Schizosaccharomyces pombe: one gene and its partners. The gene in region 2 interacts genetically with the main gene of each other region. Each region holds a gene or a part of one and is shown on either strand. Other genes may lie near its edges. The genes, in order: dni2, bud20, aps1 and SPOM_SPAC9G1.08C.

The links.
Region 1: mutations in bud20 (region 2) and dni2 together harm fitness more than expected from each alone (negative genetic interaction), as found in Schizosaccharomyces pombe (one large-scale study listed by BioGRID).
Region 3: mutations in bud20 (region 2) and aps1 together harm fitness more than expected from each alone (negative genetic interaction), as found in Schizosaccharomyces pombe (one large-scale study listed by BioGRID).
Region 4: mutations in bud20 (region 2) and SPOM_SPAC9G1.08C together harm fitness more than expected from each alone (negative genetic interaction), as found in Schizosaccharomyces pombe (one large-scale study listed by BioGRID).

Annotation. Positions count from the first base shown.
Region 1 is NC_003423.3:1,181,538-1,186,868, reverse strand, and holds dni2 (claudin-like protein Dni2), read right to left. Parts: upstream 2,443-5,331; coding exon 1,754-2,442; intron 1,603-1,753; coding exon 1,545-1,602; downstream 1-1,544. Other genes in the region: SPOM_SPBC4.02C (rRNA methyltransferase), read left to right, coding at 23-131, 229-1,252; protein Trm734, read right to left, coding at 2,765-4,024, 4,078-4,726, 4,780-5,331.
Region 2 is NC_003424.3:4,902,918-4,908,259, forward strand, and holds bud20 (zinc finger ribosome biogenesis protein), read right to left. Parts: upstream 1,317-5,342; 5' UTR 1,260-1,316; coding exon 1,183-1,259; exon of another isoform or gene 1,124-1,182; coding exon 826-1,123; 3' UTR 501-825; downstream 1-500. Other genes in the region: sst2 (AMSH-like ubiquitin-specific protease), read left to right, coding at 1-84, 129-300; yip11 (SMN complex subunit Yip11/Gem2), read right to left, coding at 2,591-2,782, 2,857-3,205, 3,311-3,477; rsm22-cox11 tandem protein cox1102, read left to right, coding at 4,061-5,342. UniProt on the Schizosaccharomyces pombe protein: Involved in pre-60S ribosomal particles maturation by promoting the nuclear export of the 60S ribosome.
Region 3 is NC_003424.3:196,824-202,730, reverse strand, and holds aps1 (diadenosine 5',5'''-p1,p6-hexaphosphate hydrolase Aps1), read right to left. Parts: upstream 2,694-5,907; 5' UTR 2,497-2,693; coding exon 1,864-2,496; 3' UTR 1,214-1,863; downstream 1-1,213. Other genes in the region: rcn1 (calcipressin), read left to right, coding at 1-244; SPOM_SPAC13G6.13 (uncharacterized protein), read right to left, coding at 3,500-3,847; chs1 (chitin synthase I), read left to right, coding at 4,016-5,907.
Region 4 is NC_003424.3:1,982,012-1,988,523, reverse strand, and holds SPOM_SPAC9G1.08C (phospholipase), read left to right. Parts: upstream 1-3,174; 5' UTR 3,175-3,230; coding exon 3,231-3,956; 3' UTR 3,957-4,085; coding exon of another isoform or gene 4,086-4,271; 3' UTR 4,272-4,316; coding exon of another isoform or gene 4,317-5,342; 3' UTR 5,343-5,401; downstream 5,402-6,512. Other genes in the region: inp53 (inositol polyphosphate phosphatase), read left to right, coding at 1-1,015, 1,053-1,161; PAK-like GC kinase Sid1, read right to left, coding at 1,296-2,594, 2,651-2,767; putative mitotic spindle organizing protein Mzt1, read left to right, coding at 2,980-3,174; SPOM_SPAC9G1.07 (Schizosaccharomyces specific protein), read right to left, coding at 4,086-4,271, 4,317-5,342; cytokinesis protein Cyk3, read left to right, coding at 6,417-6,483.

The DNA of each region.
Region 1 (5,331 bases), on a different chromosome or scaffold from region 2:
TTACTAACCTTTTTTTTTTAAGTTTTGGCTAATGGCGGATGGTTTTTTGATCCACACGTTTTAGCTGCTACCGGTGACGGTGTCGAGGTCGAGGAGAAGAGAGCCTGGGAAGGCTGGTGGAATGAAAAAATGTAAGTATTGGAATTCGGGTTTCGTACTGTCGACTTTGGCATTGAAAAGATGGAATCAGAACATATATCATGTGTCTATAGTTATTAATGTGTATAGTGTTTCACAAGCCAGAGAATCGATACGTCGACCTGATGTTTTAGCGGTATTACTTACTGGCCGCAACGAAGGGTTTCGAGGAATCGTGGAAAAAATCATTGCAAGCAAGGGTTTAGATTTCCAAGGGGTTGTGTTTAAACTTCAAGCTCCTGACGGTTTTTGGCCCCAAACACTCAACTTTAAGCTTTGGTTTTTTAATGAAGTTTACCGTCATTTCCTATATATTAACTCCACGAGGATATATGAAGATCGACCCTCCCATATAGAAGCATTTTCTGCCTGGTTGACAGAACGAAAAAAAAAGAATAAAAATGCAGATTTTGAAATTATTGCTGTCGCCGAACCTCCCAAGTATTTGAAGTTCAAAGTTGAGATTGCTCTTGTACGTGGAATGCTCACTGCCCACAATTTGAAAGCCCCATCTTTGAAATTACCCTTATACAAGTTTGTGAAGAATGTGATAGCAACTGTTGTTACGGTACCTGTCGCAGAGCTTCACCATATTCGCAATGCTTTTTTTAACATACCAATTGCTGAAATAATGGAAAGTGTTAGCGCTAATTCTTCACGTAGGAATTCACACGATTCTAATTCAACAATTATATGTGAACCCGAATATCCTCCAGATACGTCTTTTAATAGTAGCCCTGGCCGCTTGTGGATTGTTACGGCGATTGGAAGATATCGTGACGAGTACTGGACGGTGCGTGCTGAGGCTGCAGAAGGATATGACTGTGAAAAAATACACGAAATTGATGTCGCCGATATCCCTTCTCTTTATGGCACTATATTATACGTGTCCATGTCAACTGGTATTGTAAAATCGGAGATTGGAGATATTGGAGCTCAGCAGTGGAAGACATTAGCACCTTCCGAGCGATGGATTCTTCGTACAAATATCAGAAAAGAATGTACATATGACATTCGATACAAACGACCTTATGTATCGTCGTTGAAATATTCCGATGATGATTTGACTGCTGGTCGTGCTTCTCCTATGACTGGTCCAACAAAACGCAAGTAAAGTTGAGTATTTTCCATCCCTTTTCAAAAATATCCTTTATTAAGTTATGCTACTTTTCTTTTCTTTTCTCTTTTTTTTATTTAAGTCTCCCACTTTCAATATATTATAATTAGATTACCAATCTTAGGCATATACATCTGATCGTTTGGTTCGTAACATTTGCAATTTTAGATTGTCTGTTTTCAACATTAGTTAATTTATATTTAATGGTTTATGATTCATTAAAAGCTAATTCTCAATACATTTTTGCTCAAATTAGTAATATGGTTTACAAAATCTTATTTATGTTTGTTTAATAGTCTTTGCAAATGAAGTATTGTGTTTCAATTAATCTTAATTTAGTAGTAATGCTGTTTTATGTGTTAATTAAATGAAATTTAGTTATAGTTTTAAAAAAGTCAAAAGGGTATCTGTCATATACGTTTAAAGAGTATCATAAGTGCGATTTTACTTAATAGTAGTCATTTCAATGTCGTCCAACATTCTTTTCGTAATAATTACAAGCTAAATGAGAGAGATGTTTCTTCAAATAACTTTTGCTTGTTTCGTTCAATAGTCCAAAGTCCCAAATGTATTAGCGAAAATAGCAAAAAGAATCCACTGGAAATCCACCCAAAAACTGCTGCAGCTACCCCAAATTTTGCTGTAGCTTTCCCAGTTAAATTCATTCCTACAGCATATGAATTAGCCGAAATATGAGCTAAAGCCATTTGGAGTGCTAAAAGCAAACAGGCGGCTGTACTAGTAGTTAAACAACTTATTGACCATTGGCGTATGTATGCAGGAGCCAAGTACTTTAAAATAGTCAAAACAATGGATAGTGTTGAAAATACAACAACAATCGCGAGGAGAACAGGATGAACTTGAAGCCACGCAAATCTCGAAGTTTCATATGCTAAACCACCAGTTGTTTGATCCCAATTTCGAAGCTCATGGCAAACTCGAGACGTTGAATTAATAGCTTGATCACACACTCCAAAGAAACCGACGTCTACGGTGGTTGTTTCATTCTTTACTCTTAGTAATCTCGCAAAAATAGATGATTTCGTTAAGCAGCTGCAACATAAAAATATTAAAAAAAGCCATGCAATTCCTAAAATAGCATTCGAAAAAATACTAGGATGAGGAATATAGTTGTATATTCTTGCAACAAGTCCAATCCAGCTGAATTTACTAGTTCCTCTTTCCATTCTTAAACCGTAATTTTAAATTGTTTACTTTAGCAAAATTAGTTTAGGGATAGAAGAACTATTATGGAATGTAAGTCTATTATAATACTTTGAAACAAAGAAATTTTTGACACGTAACTGTTATGTTTCTTTGTCTTCGAGGACAAAGAAATTATGAGTACTACACATACTTAATACCGATAAATGCTGTGCCGCCTTTCAATCAAATCAATTATTTATTATTTTTAAACCATCGTCATGATAAATGAAAAGATAGGTCCCTTGAAGTGTATAAGAGTAAACTGAATGAATAGGCGAGTAGTAGACATTATTGAGCAAATAATCATCGTAAAGAACCCAGTCTAAAAACTTCGCAACCAATTCCGTAAATTATCAAAAAATCATTATTTCGGATCATGCCACCCACATCAGCTACGTGAGTATATCTTTCCAGGATCGGTTTCAATGAATCACCCTCGACTTTCCATAGTAATATCCTTTGGTCAATGGATACACTCAGCAAAAGCTCTTTGGTAATTGATAAAACACCTGTAACACTGGAAGCATGAGCTTCAGCAAAAAAGTAGTTATGTAAAGAATTGACTACTACTGAATTTTCACTTATTTGTTCTAACAAAAGTATAGATCGAGAAATTGCACCATCATCACCACCCGTAGAAATCGTTAACACATCTTGATCCCTGCTAATATTTAATGACTTAACACAAAATTGATGCACTGTTTTTATCCAAATTATTAATGGCTCAATTTGAGGATCCCTCCAAAATGTGTTCCAAATAGCAACATTACCATCAGTCGAAGCAACCACCAACAATAAATGAGACCCGAAAATAACAGCCTCGGCAAAAACCAAACAAACTGTCTTATATTTCCAACTTTTTATACAATTTAGCTGCTTCGTATCTACGTTATAAGTGAATGCTTTGATAGTCGAATCGGACTGTACAGTATTAATCCATAACACTCTTTCACCCAGATGGGTTGCCTTTACAACAGAAATGTCAGTTATTCGAAGATCCCCATCGTAAGTCTTGTTACTTTTATTTGGTTTGCAGAGTTTTTCATGAACGATCCGTTTCAGATATGCCTCTGGCTTTTGTATTAGCCTATAAACATTTAACTCTTCAAGACCACCAGTGGAAAATAAAATATCATCGCTAAACCAGGTCAGCGATTGGATTCCTGAATTATGAAACTTGACAGAATTCAGAGGAATTATGTTTCCATTACTCTGAAACTCAAGCAGGGTTACTTTAGTATCTTCAGATCCTGATAATAAAAGATCCCCTGAAGGATTGAAATCCATTGCTCGAATCTCACGCCCATGCAAACCATTTTGTAATACAGAATTTCTTTGCAAAAGATTTAAAGCAGTGCTATAAATATAAAGTTGATTTGCTCTATAAGATGCAAAACTTTGAATGTCCATCTCCATTGAAAAAGCCCATGGACGATGACTACCTCCACAATCAATAAAGAAAACATTAGTTTCATTTGTCTCATCCCTTAAAAAAAAATTTGATGCATGAAAACCCCAAACCCATTGATTTTCCTTTCCATTTTTTAATTTTTTACACAAACCCTAGCATATGTTAGCTGAACCATGAACCGTATATTCTTAAAGATAATACTCACCCCGCTTAGTATACCATCACAACATTTTTTCGAACACAGCTCCTGAGGAACAGCACTTTTTTCTACCCTCGGAATTGAAAATAAATTGACATAACCATCACGTCCGACTGTTTGAATTAAGAGGTAATCACGTTTTGACGACTTGATGTGAATGGATGAAATTGCATCAAATTCATGAATTCTCCTCCATACAGAAAGGTAGTTGCTTTCACCAATATTGTACAAAGCCAGCGATCCTGTTCGAGAACCAATTAAAAAATTTGAATATTCTTCATCAACTGTAAGAGAAGTCGGATCAAATGTTGCCGGCAACTCCAGTTCTATTGTTGAAATTAGGTTGACCTTATCGGCTTCAAAATCAAATTCCTGTAAGTAAACTCGAAATTGGTTTTTTCCTACAAATGATTTTGATAGTAGAAAATATCTTTCTTTAACTTGATAAGTAAGCAGTTGCTGAATCTTTCCCCTATGCAAATCAATAGCTTTTAATAAATTCGTATTTTGATATGAAAACACATATATAGTACCTTTGTTGGAGGCAGCAGCAACAAAAAAAGAGTTTTTCCAAGAACGAATTATAGACATGTCCGATGTGGTAGTCAAAGCAGGAATAGCTTTTTTTCCTTTATTATCTATAATTGACATTTCTCTAAATTAATTGGGTTAGACAGATGAATATTTGATAGCATGCAAATCGCTTACCCATTTTTGGCAAGGCATAATAATTTTTGACATTTAACAAAACAAAAAGAAGCAAGCAAAGTCTTTGAGGTGAACAATGAGGATACTGAGATGCAGGATTCCTGAATACGAGTTTTGTAATCCCAAGACCTAACTGATCCATCATTTCCACCGGTATATATTATTGGGTTCGCAGAGGAGACAACTAGTGACCATATGTGTTTCCCGCGATGACCAGTATATGTGTAAGTATTAGTGAGCGTTTTATCATTCCAAGTCCAGAGACGTAAGGTCAAATCTTCAGAAACTGTGGCTATTTCTTTGTTGGGTAGAAACACGCAACGCCAAACACGAGCTGAGTGACCAAAGCCTGTCGCTATTAAAAAGGGTGACGACTCGATCGACCAAAGCCTTAGGGTACGATCTTCAGAAACTGAGCAAAGGTAACGTCCATCCGATGAAAACTTGAGATCAAAGCAAGCACCTTCGTGTCCAACAAGGTAGGTGTCAATGGAAACACAAGAAGGTGGATTGTTATAATTGAATTTCCACACGTAAATTTGCTGAAAAGCG
Region 2 (5,342 bases):
TAGCGTGGATTTGCATACTCATTGTTCATACCAGCTTATGCTACCTGAAGCTATTGCAATTGTTATGGCTCCTTCCAAAAATACGTAAGAAAAAAATTTTTTTTTCTACATATATTAACGACTTTTAGCTCTGGCATCTTCCGTTTATTAGATCCTGAGGGACTACAAACTATAGTCAAGTGTCGAAAACCTGGGCTTTTTCATCCACATGAGGGAAAAGTTTATACGATGGTTGCTCAGCCTGGGCATGTTAGAGAAATTAACTCGAAACTTCAAGTTGTTGATTTGAGGGTTAAATAGGTAAGGATGCAATAGTAACACTTCTTTTATTCTATTATTGGTTCATCTTACAGACGCCAGGCACTTATGAATTAACTAATGGTATTTGTAACATGGTAGTGGCTACGGAAAGTTCATTATAGGAAATGAATCTATGCGTCTAATGAAACGTTCTTTGATGAATTTGTTTTTTTACGAGGATTTTGTTAAATGATAGCGAATGCGTTATGAAAAAATTATCAAAAAAATTTTATTTATTTAAAACACCATGTATCCAAAGAAACCAAAATAACGTGAAGGTAGTTTGAGATGCTCACTCTTGAAGCTAGATTAACATCCAGTAACCAATGGTAAGGTATTAGTTGTAAATTTGTAATCCAAACATGGATGCAACTAAAATTACCAATAAACGCTGCTAATGATAATATAGCAGAATAAATGAGAATGAGACATATAAAAATCTGTTTAAATAAAGAGCATGCGCTACGAATATGGAACAAAAGCAAAAGTGCTGACTAACTTAGCATTCGTAAATGTGTCTCTAGTTTAGTCCGCCATGACAACGTTACTATTGTCAGCAAGCTTGGAAGCTACACTCTGTTTTGGCTGTCCAATATTCACCGCAGCTTCTGCTTCTTCTTGTGTATACGGCTCTTCACGCAAATTTTTTAACCTTCGTTTGTGAACCTTTCCCTTCTTATGCACCAGCAATGCTTGAGACGAGTCAAAGTACCGTGCACATTCAATGCAATAATGTTGACCTAAACCTGGCAAATCCGGATCTATAGGTAATTTATCAAATTTCTCAGACTCTGTTAAGTCATTGTGAATCTGATCTAAGTCTCTATTTGTCCAATTGTTAATTTACCAAACGATGATTGAATGACCATGAAATTTGCATACCTCCCATAAACACGAGTTCTAAACAAAGCATGATTTCCATTGCTATGATGCTTTCTTTTTCTGGCAACTCTTCCCATTGTCCGTCACTTCAAACAAACCCGTTTACCACAATTACAATGTTAGTTGCAAAGGATAAACTTTTTTAAGCGTAAACACATTCAATATCCAAACGGCGTAATGTGTGCTATATCGTATAGTGAAAAATAATTCTCAAATAATCTTATTTTCCTATCGTAGTTTGCGATAAGTTTAATAACGAGAAGGAAAGCCTCGTTATATAGTTGAAAAGCAAGAGAAATGTATTAGATATGTATTATTGATTGTTCTGAATAGCTCAAGTAGCGTAAATTTTTTAATAAATAAATATTCGTTCAAAATTTGGGAGAGCATGGTCAAAGCAAGTTGAAATGCATGCCTTTGAAATTGCGCTTTTTAAGCGACGATTGCTCCATCGTTTGACAAAACTTTGTAATTTAAGGGATGTTTAGCATCGGAATTTATTAGGGAAAATTGCTTTAGGCGTGATTCTTAGTACATGGCAACTATAGAAGAAATGAATTAACATTCAGTAGCTTTCTGGCTTTAACTGCCACTATTTCATCAAAGTCTCGACAAGTTGACGTTTAGTCGAAGGAAAGAAAGTATTCACGTAGCGAGATCAGAGTCCGCTTATCAGCAAGGAAAAAATTGAGCTCTCCATTTAGACTGCTATACTGAAGTGTGAGCAATTTTAGTGACATTTAGTTTTACAAAAGGAGCTTGATTGCTCGAACTCAAAAGATTCAATTAACCACGAAGGGGTTCTTGGCAGTGAGGTTGTAATTATTTCTTTTTTATTTTATCTTTATTTGACTTTTGTTTTTTCCCAAAGAATAATTGCAATGTTCAATTAGTTTTGAATTTGAAAAACCTCATATGGGTAAAAAATCACTCGGTCGAAAAAGACAGTAAAAATTTATTAGTTAATTTCGTAAGATGGGGCGCGAATTAAAGAAAGTTGCTAGTTATCATGTAATAACATAATTGAAACCCTCGATTCGACAAGTATGCAGACAGCAAAACGAATGCACGTACTAAACAAATAGTAAGCCATTTTTTGTAAAATGAAAATGTGAATCAATAAACAAATAACTTTGCCTATCTCAATTCAAACGTGTTTTTTTAAAATATATCTATCGATTTGTAATAGGCAAATTGTTTATTGCAGCTATCTCCAAGCTTGCTTAATCACATGTTCAAAGATGCAAAGCCCAGCATATCCGTGTAGCATATGTTTTCATTCAAAAAAGTAATAATATCCTAAAAACATATTTAAAACAAGCTATCAATTTTAATTTTTTCCCTATAAACAAACGTATGCTATATGAACATGTGTACCTAAATTTTTTTCGACCAAGATTTATAGACTCTATGTTTGAAAGAGATCTTTTTGTCCATATCGATAAACTAAGACTGCTTGAAGGGCAGATGCTGACATCTGCAGAGCAGGAAAAGAAGTATGCGTACTTCGTAAAGACTTGAGTACTGAACGTAGGGTCGATATATCTTCTCCATTCAAAAGCTCAGGAAGTTTATAACAAAAGCAAAAAATCCATTGACTCTAGAAAAATGTTAGCAAATTTTAGAATGAACAAAAATACACCAGCAAAGTAGCATGAGATCCTTGTTACCAACCTGTAAATCAATTGCGTCCTTTTCAAGCCAGCTGGACAAGCTTTCTAGGATCTCCAAAACAGTTGCCAAATCAACCACTGCTAATATGGCCCAACAAGGAGCTTTATGCTCAATATATACACGCCATTGTTGTAAATTTTTAGGTAAAATAGATGCGTCCAATGAAGAAGATTCCATATATTGCTCAAGCCTTTCCCCTTCTTTATCAATTATGTTTAGTAAGTATCGTAAAAACGGGTCAAAGCTTTTTTTGCCGGCCTCGATTTCCAATTTGCGAAGAGGAATGGTTTCTCTTGTTTCAGGCTCACGACGCGCCGCTACAAATGGAACTAGCTTGCGAGCTTCTTCTCTGAACTTGTCAGTAAAAAGCCCAATTATTGTTACAATGATTAGATTAAAGCATTCATGTTGCAAATTTCGATTTTCACAAAAATTCATATATAAATGTTCGTACCTCACAGTTGCTAAATAATCTAAACCATCAAGTGGTATATCATATTCCAAAGATTCTGAAGCACTATTGTTGTCGATTTGTGGAAAAGCGCTGCGTTGATTTGTTTCCTCATCTAATGATCCTGAAGTCTGATATTGTAAAGGATTTCTTTTTCTTTTCGAGGGCATTTTGAATTATTATTGTACAATTGCAAACTTCTCATATAAACCAAATGGAAAAGAATTACCGAATTTTCATGAAAATACTCAAGGAATGTAGGCTGTTTTTTTCCGGCAACTTTTCGTTTGTAGTTAGTTAACAAGGAATGTTTCGTAAATCGAAGATTACCCTAGTATAATAGAATGGTAAGGTTAAAGAGGTATCTGTAGAACTATCAATGTGAAGAGTCTATCTTGATCAAGTGTAATGCTAAAACTAATTTTAGCTATTTCTTGATAATTCCTTTACTATCATAAAATTTATTACTTGTTCTTATTTTCAAAGAAGTTCAAAGTTTTGCATTTTTTTGAAGTGTATAAGAAGCTAAAACTGGGAGAATATTCACTCAGACAGAATTGCCTATCCTTGAACTAATTTAATAAACATAAAACATATAGATATGTAGGAAATTGTACTATTCATTCTTCTGTCAACGCAAGTAACACCATCTGCGGCCACTTAATCAGGCACTTACTCTACACAATATACAGATCAGTGCTTTATCCCCAAATCCCATTGTTCATTGGTGAATTGGTGTTTTGAGCAGCACATATGCCCATTCTAACATGCAGATATAAAATTCTGTTTCTTTATAATTTACGGAATTGCTTTACTTTTCAAAATCAGCGATGTCTCATACCATATGGAACAACCACTACCATTAGGTGGTATAATGCAAATTTTCAAGCTGTTCAAAACAACTTTTCTGATTATAAAAACGAATTGATCTCTTCACATCGTCCAGAAGCTTCCAGTTTACTCGACTTTTTGGTAAAGGATCAAAAGAAAAGTGGTGATATTAGTTTGCATACAAAATTTAATCTATATGTGGACGATTTATTGAAAAAGAGCGAAAAAGGACAAATTAAAAAATTTATTAATGATATTAAAAAAGATTTGGCTACGGAATCTCAGCTTCCATTGTCTGCGCCATTCAAAGATGAATCTACTCGGACTATGACAGATCCCCAAGTTTTAGCTTATATTCATCAGTCTATGCCGTATCAATATGCTTCTCTATACAGCGTATTGACTGACTTGAAAATTGTAAACAGTGATGTGTCTTGCAAGTCTCAACATATACTGGATTGCGGTAAAGGTCCAGGTATTGGTGCTCTAGCTAGTTATTCAGTCTTTCCCACACCTAATTCAGTTTCAATTGTTGAGGAGAACCCATTTTTGAAAAAAATCATATATGATATTCACCATAACATTTACCCGTCAACTTCGCCGAATCCAACTAGCCCTGTTACGCTTAACCGTCTACCATTGGGTAAAAAGGATTCATACACTCTAGTTATTGCATCTAACAAGCTTCTTGAAATGAAATCGGAGAAAGAACTCTTTGATTATCTTCGTTCGCTTTGGAGTCTCGTGTCAAATGATGGTGGTCTTTTGGTGCTCTGCGAGCGAGGCACAAAGCGTGGCTTTAGTTTGATTCAAAGAGCTAGAACATTTCTATTGCAAAAAAGTAAAAATACTTCTGATAAACAATTCAATGCCCATATTGTAGCACCCTGTCCCCACGATGGTCGCTGCCCCATTGATATAGAAAATGGGGTAAGAGCAAATATTTGTTCTTTCAAACAACATTTTTTCCTATCCCCATTTTCCCGTCTATATGTCCCTCGTTCTCATCGTCGATCCTCGGATCGCTCTCATTACAGTTATGTTGTTATTCAAAAGGGTATAACTAGACCGCTTAATAATACCACACAAAGGTTCAAGAATGATGAGGATTTACTAGAAAATGTGAATGTTACATCTCCAACTCTTAAAAACTGGCCACGTATAATTCGACCTCCACTGAAGCGAGATGGACATGTCATAATTG
Region 3 (5,907 bases), 4.7 Mb from region 2:
ATCGTTACAGGTTCCGAAGTTTGAGAAGAATTGGCTTATTAGCCCTCCTGGATCTCCACCTGTAGGATGGGAACCTATTGTTGAAGAATCTCCCAATTCGCAACATTTAGCTCATGATATTCAGCTTAAATTGGATGAATTAGGTAATGCCCTTTTGAACGATCATTCCGCTGGACCACAAATCGTAATTTCTGAACATAACAATACAAAGGAAACATCGCCATCCAGGCAATTTGAACATTAGTTCTTGCTCAATTTTCTTTTTCTTTTCTTTTTCTATTTAAATTTTTTGTGCATATGCGTTTATTTTTGGCTTCAATTTACAAAGTTTTGTTCTTGCTTCAACGCTTTTTTTTTGAAAGAAAAAAAAATCGACATTTTCAAATCAAGATTAAGATGGGTGAATTCTAAAACAGCTCGATTCCAAAACTTCACTTTTTTTAATTGGAAAACTATGGTTATCTTTATTACGGTCAACGACTTGCTCCCAGTAACTGTCTTGAAATTAAGGATCTATAGTTATGTGAAAGATATTTCCGTAATTCAGATTGTTAGTGATTTGTTGAATTTGACCTGGCTAAACTAACGCATATTAAAAGTTTTGTTTCATCAATTATTTATCCTATTATGCCCTATGTCTTCAAAGTTATTTACCTGTGAAACGTTACATTCTCGTTCAGATTAGATCCAGAAACTTATGCTGGGATCTAACAGGATTAACGACAATTGTTAGAATGTGAGACAGTGCTATTTAGTTCATTTTTAAAAGAATTGGCTATGACCGTCAAAGTTCTGAAAATAAAAATATATATATGTATTTTCTTCTTGTTTCTTTTTCTAAAAATTTTTTATTCTGATAGCTGAAGCTTTACTAACATAACTGCTAAATCCTACGTTTTTAATTTTGCAGTTTGTTTGGATTTTTAGGTGTGGTTATAAATTGCTTTTATGTACATTTTCACGTTGAACAACGTCAATCAAATATATTAAGTAATTCTCAAATTCTTATATAAGCATTTTGTACGAATATTTATACTAACGGATTGATGTTTGCTATAGTTCGTCGTTTCGCTATCTATTTACTACTAATTGAAAAGTATTTTTTAAAATTATCGCACGTAAGTGTAATGAGCGTCAATGGATTCACTATAATTCATAGCTATATGATTGCTGAAAGCCAATATAAAATTACACGACATATTCAAATTGACACACGAAACTTCTTGGGCTCATTAGTATCTAACAACGAATACGTTTTACCGTATGGAACAATTTTGTTTTTATTAACGTCACTAATCAAAATTGGTTGCAAACAATTAATATGCTAGCAACTAATGTGCTTTTTATGCATAGCACACAACGATAACGATTAACTCGCACCCTAGCATCAAACAGGTGGGATTAGATGATTTTTTAAGGAATGAAACTTTGTTTTAAAAAATTTGAATTATCATGCGATTCAATTGAAAATATATTTATAAATAGAATTAGTATGTTATGCAGACAATGATCTTAATCGAAAATATACAAAGAGAGTAAAAACTTTTAAAAAAGGAAAGAAAAAATAGCAGTTGAACTGCTGGAATATATGCTGTACCGCTGAAATCCTTTAAAGGATATATGTTTCATGAAATGAGCTTTATGTCGAAAACTCAATTTGACCCAGCTTGCTGAAAAAAAAAATAAGAATCAAGATTTGCAAACTTCAAGCCTTTTTAACACACTTGACATGGTAACTAATAGATATAACAATTTCGTAATCCCATGGAAAAAGATAAATATTGAAGCAAGAAATCAAAAAAAATGGTAAATTAAAATATTTGAATAAAAGGTTGCAAATGGTAAACATTATGCATCTGTACTTCAGTTTTCCTCTTTAATGATAGAGCTCTTCTCAAGAGCTGCCAAAATATCTTTACGACTTGTCAACGCTTCCTTTGCTTCTTGATAAGACATCCATTTTCGGCGACGCTTCCTCATCTCTGGGTAATTGTCTTCTAATCTTTCAACAATAACTTCAAAAAATTCACATTCGGCTCTAGGTGGAAGTAATAATTTCTCTGCTTCGGCTCCTAACTCGGTATTGGTTGAGACGTCATTTCCGCTACTTTTTGACATTAATTGCTTCAAATATTTTTTCCTTCTGTCAATAGTATCAGTAGGACGCTTATCCTTGAAAGACCCAAGGGATCTAGTGATATGACCCACTAGTCCGCCTTCTTCCCAACCTTCACGAAGGGCAGCTTGCTGAACAGATTCATCAGCCTCCCATCCACCCTTAGGAACTACCCAAGAAGGATGTTTTTTAGCAGAAGAAACTAATAGGACTTTCCTTTTGTCTGCAGATAAAGCAACAACACCCGCAGCAAGTCTGGCTCCTGTAATAGGATTGAATCGATTTTTCGTTCGACCTTCACGAGAAGTCATTGAGCGGTTCACTGCCGTCCGTAGATGATCCGGCTCCATTAAAATCACACTTCCGTTATTTTCAAGCATATGAACTATAAAGTACTCTTCTTTTCGACAAGTTGAATGGATTTGGTATAATTTCTTGCCTTATGGTAGAGTAAGGAAACGATGTCTGAAAAGGCAAAAGCAAGATGTTCAAAAGAATCTGAGTTCTTTTTGAACAAGGAAGAGATATAAATCTCCTATTCCGATGAATATAAATCGATCGCGAAAAGTGGTTTTCCGAAGGTTTCTCCCAGTGATTTAGGTTGGGATAACGAAATAGTGAAGTACAAACCGACACGCTAAACAGTTGTCGGAGACCAAATAATTTGCGGTGATATTTAAAATGAGAGATTGTATTAGAAAATAGGTAATTTATAATTTTTCAAAATAAATAGCTTGCGAGGAAAATACATTTTCATTTTGTATGCAGTAATCTCCAATTTGCGAAGTTGTTTGTATTCGTAGATTTCGCATCGAAAAATACCCACATTATCAATTCTTTGGACAAAATGAGGCTTTTTAAAAGGAGTACGCTTGTAGAAAATCTGTAAGTCTTAATCTTTTAATACACGGTTTTCGAAGTTTTGCATTGTATTTACTGTTCTGTTGTTCTATCTGATCATTGCTGATTCCTTCACTAACTCTTGATAAGTTGGGCTTTTTGAATCTGATAATATTGATAGTAAGAGAATCAATTAACACTAACCAATTGTTGATGCATTTTAATGTCGAGGAAAATAAAATAAAATAATTTAACAAAAAAAAGATTGGATAATTTAAATTCCCAATATCTGTTTTATTTAAAACAATTATTATAGCGAAAAAAAATGTTTATTATATAAAAAACAATAATTTATACAATTCAACTACTTCTATTACGTTTGGAATAAAAAGAAAATCGTTTAAAATAATAATATATCTAAATAAAATGAGTAATGTTGGAAGAAAATTGGCTTTTCGTTTGCTTTGTTATATACCTTAGCAAGCCATTGTATAAATTGTTATTTTTTAATTTTTTTTATATGAATAAATAATGAGATATGATTTACTTTTTAAGCTTTTGATAAAATTTGTTCATAACATAAACTTTGGTATGTGTATTCCTTCTTATAATTACAGTTGTATTTAGTTTTAACAATACGGAACAAATAATTATTTTTATGTATTTAGATTTGTCATACAATATAGCGAGTAAATGCCATTCTTCAATCATAAAAAAAGTACACTTTAGTTTGTTGCAATCTTCCACCACCTCATCACTTTTTTTTCTTTTGTAAACATTAATCTTCTTACTCTCTTTGTATTTAAATATTAAAAGAGTATAACAATTCCTTCTTTTATAATATTTTATTTTCATATCGTTGGCTTCTACAATCATTGGCAATTGAAACATTGTTGACAAGCATTCAGGGTTAAACAAACCATTGTTTCAATCATTACAACTGTAATTGTCTCCCCAAAATTGATTCTCACTATCATAAACTTGGATGCTGCTTTACAGAAAAAATCTAAGCGTATATTTGATAGAGCGATTTGAGGCTCGTTTCTACGGCTCTTGAAGATGAGAAGGTGGTTCAAAAAAACGCTACCACGCCCTCCTGATGAGGAGGAATCAGCTGGATTAACAAATAAAGATATTGTTGAAACCAATCACTTATATCCTACAATCACCAATTTGTCATTAAACAGTGATACTTCGTCCATTTTATTTGATAAAAATAAAAAACCTCTAAAACCGAAAATCATTATTCCTGATAAAGAATTTGATCTCGATTATTATTTAAAAGATGAAACGGAAAGTATTCAATCTCCATTTGAAGGTTTTACTGCTCAACCAAATTTTTCAAACTTCAATAAGCAAGGAAATACTATGAACCGAGAGGCAAATTTCCAAAGAACAAATGAAAAAATTCAAAGAAATAAAAGTATTAAACGAGTTAAATTATTTCATGGCAATCTCATCCTCGATTGTCCAATTCCTAAGAAGTTATTGGTTACACTTCCACAGCAAACAGAGCGAGAATTTGCTTACATGCGCTACAGTGCTGCTACATGTGATCCACAAGACTTTTCGAAAAGCCTATTCACTTTAAGGCAGCCCCTATTCTTTCAGCCGAGAAAAACTGAAATTTGTATTGCTATAACTATGTACAATGAAGATGAAGTTCTGTTCGCTCGTACCATGCATAGTGTCATGAAGAATATTTCACATTTATGTACAAGAAAAAATTCTCAAGTTTGGGGGAAGGACGCTTGGAAGAAAGTCGTTGTGTGTATAATCTCTGACGGTCGCACCAAGATACATCCAAGAACACTTGCTTATTTAGCTGCAATCGGAGTTTATCAAGACGGAATTGCTAAAAATCAGGTCAATGATAAGGAAGTAAAAGCACATATATACGAATATACTACACAGCTGTCTATTGACCCTAATTTAAAGTTCAAAGGATCTGATAGAGGTATTGTTCCTGTTCAGATGATATTTTGTTTAAAGGAGAAAAATCAAAAAAAACTAAACTCCCATTTGTGGTTTTTTCAAGCGTTTTGCCCAATCCTAAAGCCAGAGGTGTGCATTCTTTTAGATGCTGGAACACGTCCGGGGGACCAATCCATTTATCATTTATGGAAATCATTTGATTTGAATCCTCAAGTTGCTGGCGCTTGTGGTGAAATTGTCGTTATGAAAGGAAAATTGGGTTCCGGTTTAATAAATCCATTGGTAGCTACTCAGAATTTTGAATATAAAATGAGCAATATACTCGACAAACCAGTAGAAAGCGTGTTTGGGTTTATCAGCGTACTACCAGGAGCCTTCAGTGCATACAGATTTGAAGCTTTACAGAATGATTCTCAGGGAAATGGTCCTTTGGCTAGTTACTTTAAAGGAGAACTTCAAAATACCGGAAAATCGGGGATTTTTGAAGCAAATATGTATCTTGCAGAAGACAGAATACTGTGTTTTGAGCTAGTTTCAAAAAAGAATGAAGCATGGATCTTGCATTATGTAAAGTCTGCATATGCCGATACGGATGTTCCAGATCGAATCCCAGAATTCGTGCTACAGCGAAGAAGATGGCTTAATGGGAGTTTTTTTGCTGCCGCTTATGCTATCTGTCACTACTACAGGTTTTTTAGGACTTCACATACTATTTCGCGAAAATTTATGTTATCTATTGAGTTTATTTACCAATTGGCAACTATAGTTTTTGGTTGGTTTAACATTGGAAACTTCTTCATAATTTTTTATATTTTGACATCCAGCCTCGCATCAACAAGTGCTAATTTTCTACCTGGAGAAATTCTATTTAGAATTGCAATTTGGATTTACGCATCTTTATTGGTGACATGCTTTGTATTAGCTTTAGGAAATCGACCTCATGGCTCGCCGAACTTTTATTTATCCATGGTAATAATGTACTCTATATTAATGGGATATCTTTTGTTTTGCTCCGG
Region 4 (6,512 bases), 2.9 Mb from region 2:
TGATGATTCGAGACAATGGATACCCAGATATAGTTGTGTTTGGTTTTCAAGAGCTAGTTGATTTGGAGAATAAAAGACTCACAGCTAGAAGCATCCTTTCAAAGTCGAGCTCCAAAGGTGGTTCGTCTAACAGTGCTAATATTTCCAGTCAGTATCGTTTATGGCGTGAAAAATTAGAATCTGAAATGATGCGGGTAAGCTCAAACGATGATTATCAGGTTTTGGTATGTGAAAATTTGGTTGGTCTTTTCTCATGTGTTTTTGTAAAAAATAAGTTACAAAGCAAAATTCGGATGTTACAATCGACAACTGTAAAAACGGGACTAGGTGGTTTGCATGGTAACAAAGGTGCAATAGTCGTTCGCTTTCTGGTAGATGATACTTCATATTGCATAGTAAACTGTCATTTGGCTGCTGGTCAATCCAATAAAGCAGCCAGAAATAATGATTTGGCAACAATTTTAGACAATGCTTCTCTTTTTCCTGAAAATGATGAAACTGATCAATTGAATACATTCGTTGGTGGTGGCGATGGCTCTTTAATTATGGATCACGAAGTTTGTGTTTTGCATGGTGATTTAAATTATAGAATCAACACATTGAGACCTAAAGCTTTAGATTTAATTAAAAAAAACGACATAAAAACTTTGCTCCAAAGCGATCAGCTTCTTGTTGAGCGAAAAAGAAATGCCGGATTTCGTCTGAGAACATTTACTGAACCAGAAATCACGTTTGCCCCAACTTACAAGTACGACGTTCATAGTGAGCAGTACGACAGTAGTGAAAAAAAGCGTGTGCCTGCCTGGTGTGATCGTATCTGTTATCGTGGAAGTCCCGACTACATCTCTGCAGAAAACTATACCAGGTACGAACTGAAGGCATCAGATCACCGACCAGTATCTGCTTTAATACATTCCAAAGCGAAGATGGTAAATGCGCAATCTCAGGGGTCCACATGGGACGTGGTCAAACGAAAGTGGATTGAGTATGCTGATGAATTTAAGAGAAAGGCTAAGTATGTTTTTTTTTGGAGAATTTTGCTAACCAACCAGAATAACCTATGTCATGAATTATACTTCTGTGTCTTATCAAACGGCTGAACAATATTTGTCTGGAAATAACTGGAATGTACAAAATGCTTTAAAGCAAGTGTCAAGTTGATTTCGAATAGTTCTCGTTTGGATGTGTTTATATATATTATGTAGATTAAATTATAGTAGAATATGCCATTATAAGTTCATTTAAATACAAAATTGTGAATGCTGTAAACAGGTTGTTTACGAGTTTTTAGTAAGCTATCCATTTAGACTTCTTCTTTTCTCAGTTTCTTCAAGCCACCGTGAAAATAGTAGTTGTGATATGGGGCTCCGCTTTTGCTTTTTGTGATGCAGTCTGTTGTCTGGAGTAATTTGGTTAACAAATTTTGAGGACAGATTTTTATCTAAAGAAATGAAAGATGTATAAAAAGATTCTAAAGATGAGCGCTGCGTTGCTGACAATTTATCATTTAATAACATCGATCGTATGGTGGACTTAATATAATGTTTCATAGCAAAATCGGAAGTCAACGATTTATGATAAGAGCTACCTTTTTCAGACAATGACTTGGAAAAAGGATGCGGTGTCGCTTGATCACTCATTATAGTTTTCTCTAAATATTTTATTGATGAAGGCAATTCCTCTTTATTTTGTGAACTGATGATGGAATTTTTAGGAATGCTAGTATTCCCTAACACAGTTGAGTCAGATTTCTTTACAGTTTCAAATGTCCAATCCTCAATGTCAGCATTTCCTTCAGCAATTGGTTCTTCAAAGGGCTTTAAAGTATTATTTATGGTTTCTTCCAATACACTTTGATCCGAATCATCAAATAATTTATTCTCCTTCTGAACAAGCAAAGGAATAATGTCTTTCACAGTTCCTGCGCTTTTGATGAATGGGTGTTGAAGGAGTTCTTTAGCTGACCATCGCATATTAGGATTGAGATCTAAGCAGCAGGACACAAAATCACGGAATGTTGGACTGAAATGATCATCTAGCTTTGGAGGCTCGGATTGAGGAATTTCAAAGATGACACGCATTGGATGCATTGTAGCGCGGGGCGGAATTCCGTTAGCCATTTCAATAGCCGTAATTCCAAGAGACCAAATGTCAGCAGCTAAACCATAACTTGTTTGTTGTATTACTTCCGGTGCCATCCAAAATGGCGTTCCAACAAACGTGTGTCTACGCGAAGCAGCGTTCGAAAGTTGAGCGGCAACTCCAAAGTCAGCAAGCTTTACGTTTCCGGTAGAGGAAGATAGTAGTATATTGGCGGCTTTGATATCTCTGTGGATTTTGTTTTGTCCATGAAGATAATTTAGCCCATAAAGGACCTCTCGAAGAATGATTGAAATTACTTGTTCATTCAACCTTCCCATTTTCAAAAGTCCCGAAACTGATCCTCCATCCATATGCTCCATCAAAATCCATAATGTGTATCCGTCAACAAAACAACCGTAATACTGAATTACATTGGAACTGTTGCAATTCGATAACATAAATACCTCTTGTTCGATGTCGGTAATGTCGTCAATACCTGTTTCTAAATCAATCTGCAACTGTAAGTTTTTTGTGATACTAAAGAAGAGTAAAAATTAATTAGTCTTACCTGTTTAATAGCGATAATGTCGCCAGACACATTTTCACGTGCTTTCCAGACAACCCCAAATGAACCTGATCCTAATTTCCGTAGCAGAGTATAAGAATTAGCATTGAGAGGATACATTTCATCAATATTTTGACTGCTCAAATCTGAGGTTGAGCCTACTTTCGGTTTCGTTTTACAAGCACAAGCTAGATGCACCACGAAGTACTTTGTTTATTACTTAGAGGATTATAATGAGCTACTCCGAGACGCCTATTCCAGTAAACTTAACATTACCAACTTGTTACGAAGTATATATAATTAGACTAGTTTATTATAAAGTATCGAGTTTTATGTCTGAATCTACCAAAGAGACAATAGAAGTTTTATACGAAATAGGAACATTGCTTGGAACTGAACTTGATAAAACAACGCTTTCACTCTGCATCAGTCTTTGTGAAAACAACGTACACCCAGAAGCAATAGCTCAAATAATTCGGGAAATACGTATGGCTCAGGAACAAACTGTTGACACAGAACCAAGTTAATGGCAAGAAGTTTAATCTCAATAGTTGACCTCGGGGTTTAGTATTTCTTTTATCTAATGTCTTCTTTAAACAGTGTTCTACCTTCAAATGCATGCGCAGAGATTATTGAAGGGAAAGACAAGGTTCACAATGTAGTTATTTTAATGCATGGACTTGGAGATTCTCACAAGAGTTTTGCAAATATGGCAAAGAACGTTCCGTTGCCCAACACTAGTTATATTTCCTTACGTGGACCATATCGATTACCATTAGATTTTGAAAATCCTGGAGGCAATTGGATGTGGGGAGAGGATGTCCATTTTGATCAAAACGGGGAACTGCAATCTGAAGCCGATTTCTCTAAAAGTTTTACGATGATTTCAAATTTAATTGGCAATCTACTCTCTTACGGTATATTATCTTCTAGAATATTTTTTTTCGGGTTTGGTCAAGGAGCTATGGTTGCTTTATATAGTTGTTATAAATTGTCTACTAAATACCAGCTTGGAGGGATATTTTCCTTTGGAGGTACTCTACCGCTATCCATAACTTTGCCCAATCATCCATTTCATGTTCCAGTGTATTTGTTTGAAAAGCGATTGCATTGTTCATGCAGCGAATATGAAGAATCGCGATTACGTAAAACATTTAAACCATTTCACCTCACATGTTGGAATCGTGATGATAAAACTGACATGCCTTCATCCCCTAGAGAATGGTATACATTCGTTCAATCTATTAGTAAACATTTGTATATTCACAACACGTTGTTTGAAGATGCAATTCCTCTTACATCTTTTTAGAATTGATTTATTTAAGTTAACATTTGTTCACAATAAAGTTAATATTCATTTGGGCATAGATATAACAATAACTCCTCTAGCCATTATGTGATTAAAATTAGTACGTTTACCTTTTGATCATTAAGATTTTCAATCGACAAGATAACTAAGATCCGGAAGCTTATCAACAATTCTATTAATTAGTTGATTTTGGTCAACTGTTTTTATATTTCCACGCCCTGCTCTCTCATTATTAAGAAACGAAGTATTGATCGATTGAATAACAGCCGGAGTGTCTTTAGGAGCTGACAATGAAGTAGAAGGTGAACTAAAATTCTGAAAAATTAGAGTATTTGGCTCAACTTGAGACTCTTCACTTACATCATCAACGGAAGCAGAAGCTAAATTCGATGAGTTTTTCGAGGTATCTTGGGAACTGACCCATGAACCCCATTCAAAATTATCAGAGGTTGGATCCGGGGAAAGAGACGTTGATGAATTTTTTTTCTTCGTTTCTCTAATTTTTTCTTCAGAGTCAAGTTTAGCGATTGATGAATGTTCTTCGACTTCATCAACTTTTTTACGATCCAAACTTAGTGGTGATTTTGGAACAACTTCATCCTCTTTATTTATTGAAATTGTAGAACAACTGTTGCTTTCCCTCTCAATCAATTTGACTGGGGAAGAAAGGAAAGTATTTGCAGATAATTTGTGATCCTGTTTAACAGCAACTGTATTATTTAAAAGAGCCGTAGAAGAAGAATAATCCTTGGGAATTTCATTCGATGATAAATTAGAAAAATCAAGTATATCTGAAGGAACATTTATACTGGAAATCTTGGTCGTAGAAAAATTAGATAAAGGAGACTGTTCCGGTAACAAAATATTTTTGTCATTGATGGGCGGTGTGACAGGTGAATTGGTATAGCTTGCTGTTTTCCTTTTCTGCTTCTGATAAGCTGTTGACCAACAAAAAAGCACATTGCTTTTTCGATTTACATTAGACCGTTCTTGGTTCCATAAAGTCATATGTTCTTTAAGTAAACGACTAATGGTTCCTTGTTTTAGTTCTCCTAAACTTTTCTCATTGTATCCTAAGCGGATTAATTGTCTAAAATTGGTTTCCGAGGTAGCTGTAATACCTATATAATCTTTGGATGCCAATGAAATCCGTTTAGGAGGCTTGACAACGCCAAATGTGTAATCCAACTTTTCATTAATATCTTTCAAATTAAATGTGTCAAGATTGAGAGCATTTTCTTTCCAGACTGATGCCTCCATTGAAAAACTGACATCGTTAGTAATTGAGGGAATTGCTGAATTCGAGTTGGATATATTTTCACTACCCCATGCATTATGAGGATTAGAGGCGTTCGAAAAACTAACAGAGTTCAGCAAATCATCCATATAAATCACATTCCAGTTCTTTAAGTTGTAGATTCTCAATTTAATAATATATGAGTGGATAAAAAAAACGTAGGTGCCATCAACTTCGGGTTAAAAAGAAAACAAAAAGAGCCTTAACTATACTTCTTTTATAAAAGGAACCTTTTTAGAGTATTAGTATAAATGCTCAAGATGAGTTGAAAGCGGTTCGGCTAGGGTAAGCGACTTAAGCCACCACATCGTGTGCAACGCAAGTAGGCAACTTAAATCCGTTCAACGTATTTAGTGTGAAATTAAAAATAAAATAAACTCAATTAAATTTCCGGAAGAAGAATAAATTTTATAAGTAATCATTTTAAAATAGGACAGAGTTTTTTAACAAATTTTAAGCTAGTAAACAATTAATCTAATACTCTGGCGAAAGTTGCTAGCTTTATTAAAGAGGAATCTCATATGGACTGAAGCATCGTGCAAATTTTTGAAAATTACATTTGGTAAATTAAAACCTAGATTATTTCATCTAAATAATATGGCTTAAAGTGCGCATAAATATGGATGCTGGTTTCAAATCATTTGAATATTATGTCTTGTGCAAAAAGCTCTTTAAAAAAATTACAGAAGTGCAAATGTACCACATATTTCAAGTTAAAATGAACCCTTCTAGGACTTCTAACAATTTTAGTAAATTTTCTCACTAAATCAATTATAATCTACATGAAATGAATCTAACATCGCACTCTTTATCGTTAAAGAATGTTTCATGGTAGCCAAATATCTTTCTTTTTTTAATTTTCCTAAAATGAAATTCTAGTATGGTTGAATTTATTACCGATCTGCATTTTATCGAGTATTATTGAAAATATTTCCATTTTTTAATTGTGCGCTAAGTATATAAGTCGCGTTATTAGAAAAATTATGATGTACTCGGTTAATTGAGCTCTAAAAAAAAAACAAAGTTATTAGTGTACTTCGCTTAAATAAGAATCTTATCTTCACATTCATACACAACTCACATCACGTTACGGAACTTCCGCTCCGCTCGTTTTTTATATTAACTACCAAAGACTATAATTTCATTCCTTTAAGCCTTCAGGAATGTCCATTCCTAAACAACTACCATGCATGGTACGTGCTCTGTATGCATGGCCAGGTGAACGTGAAGGTTCGTAACATTTAAAGATGCTGTTAAGT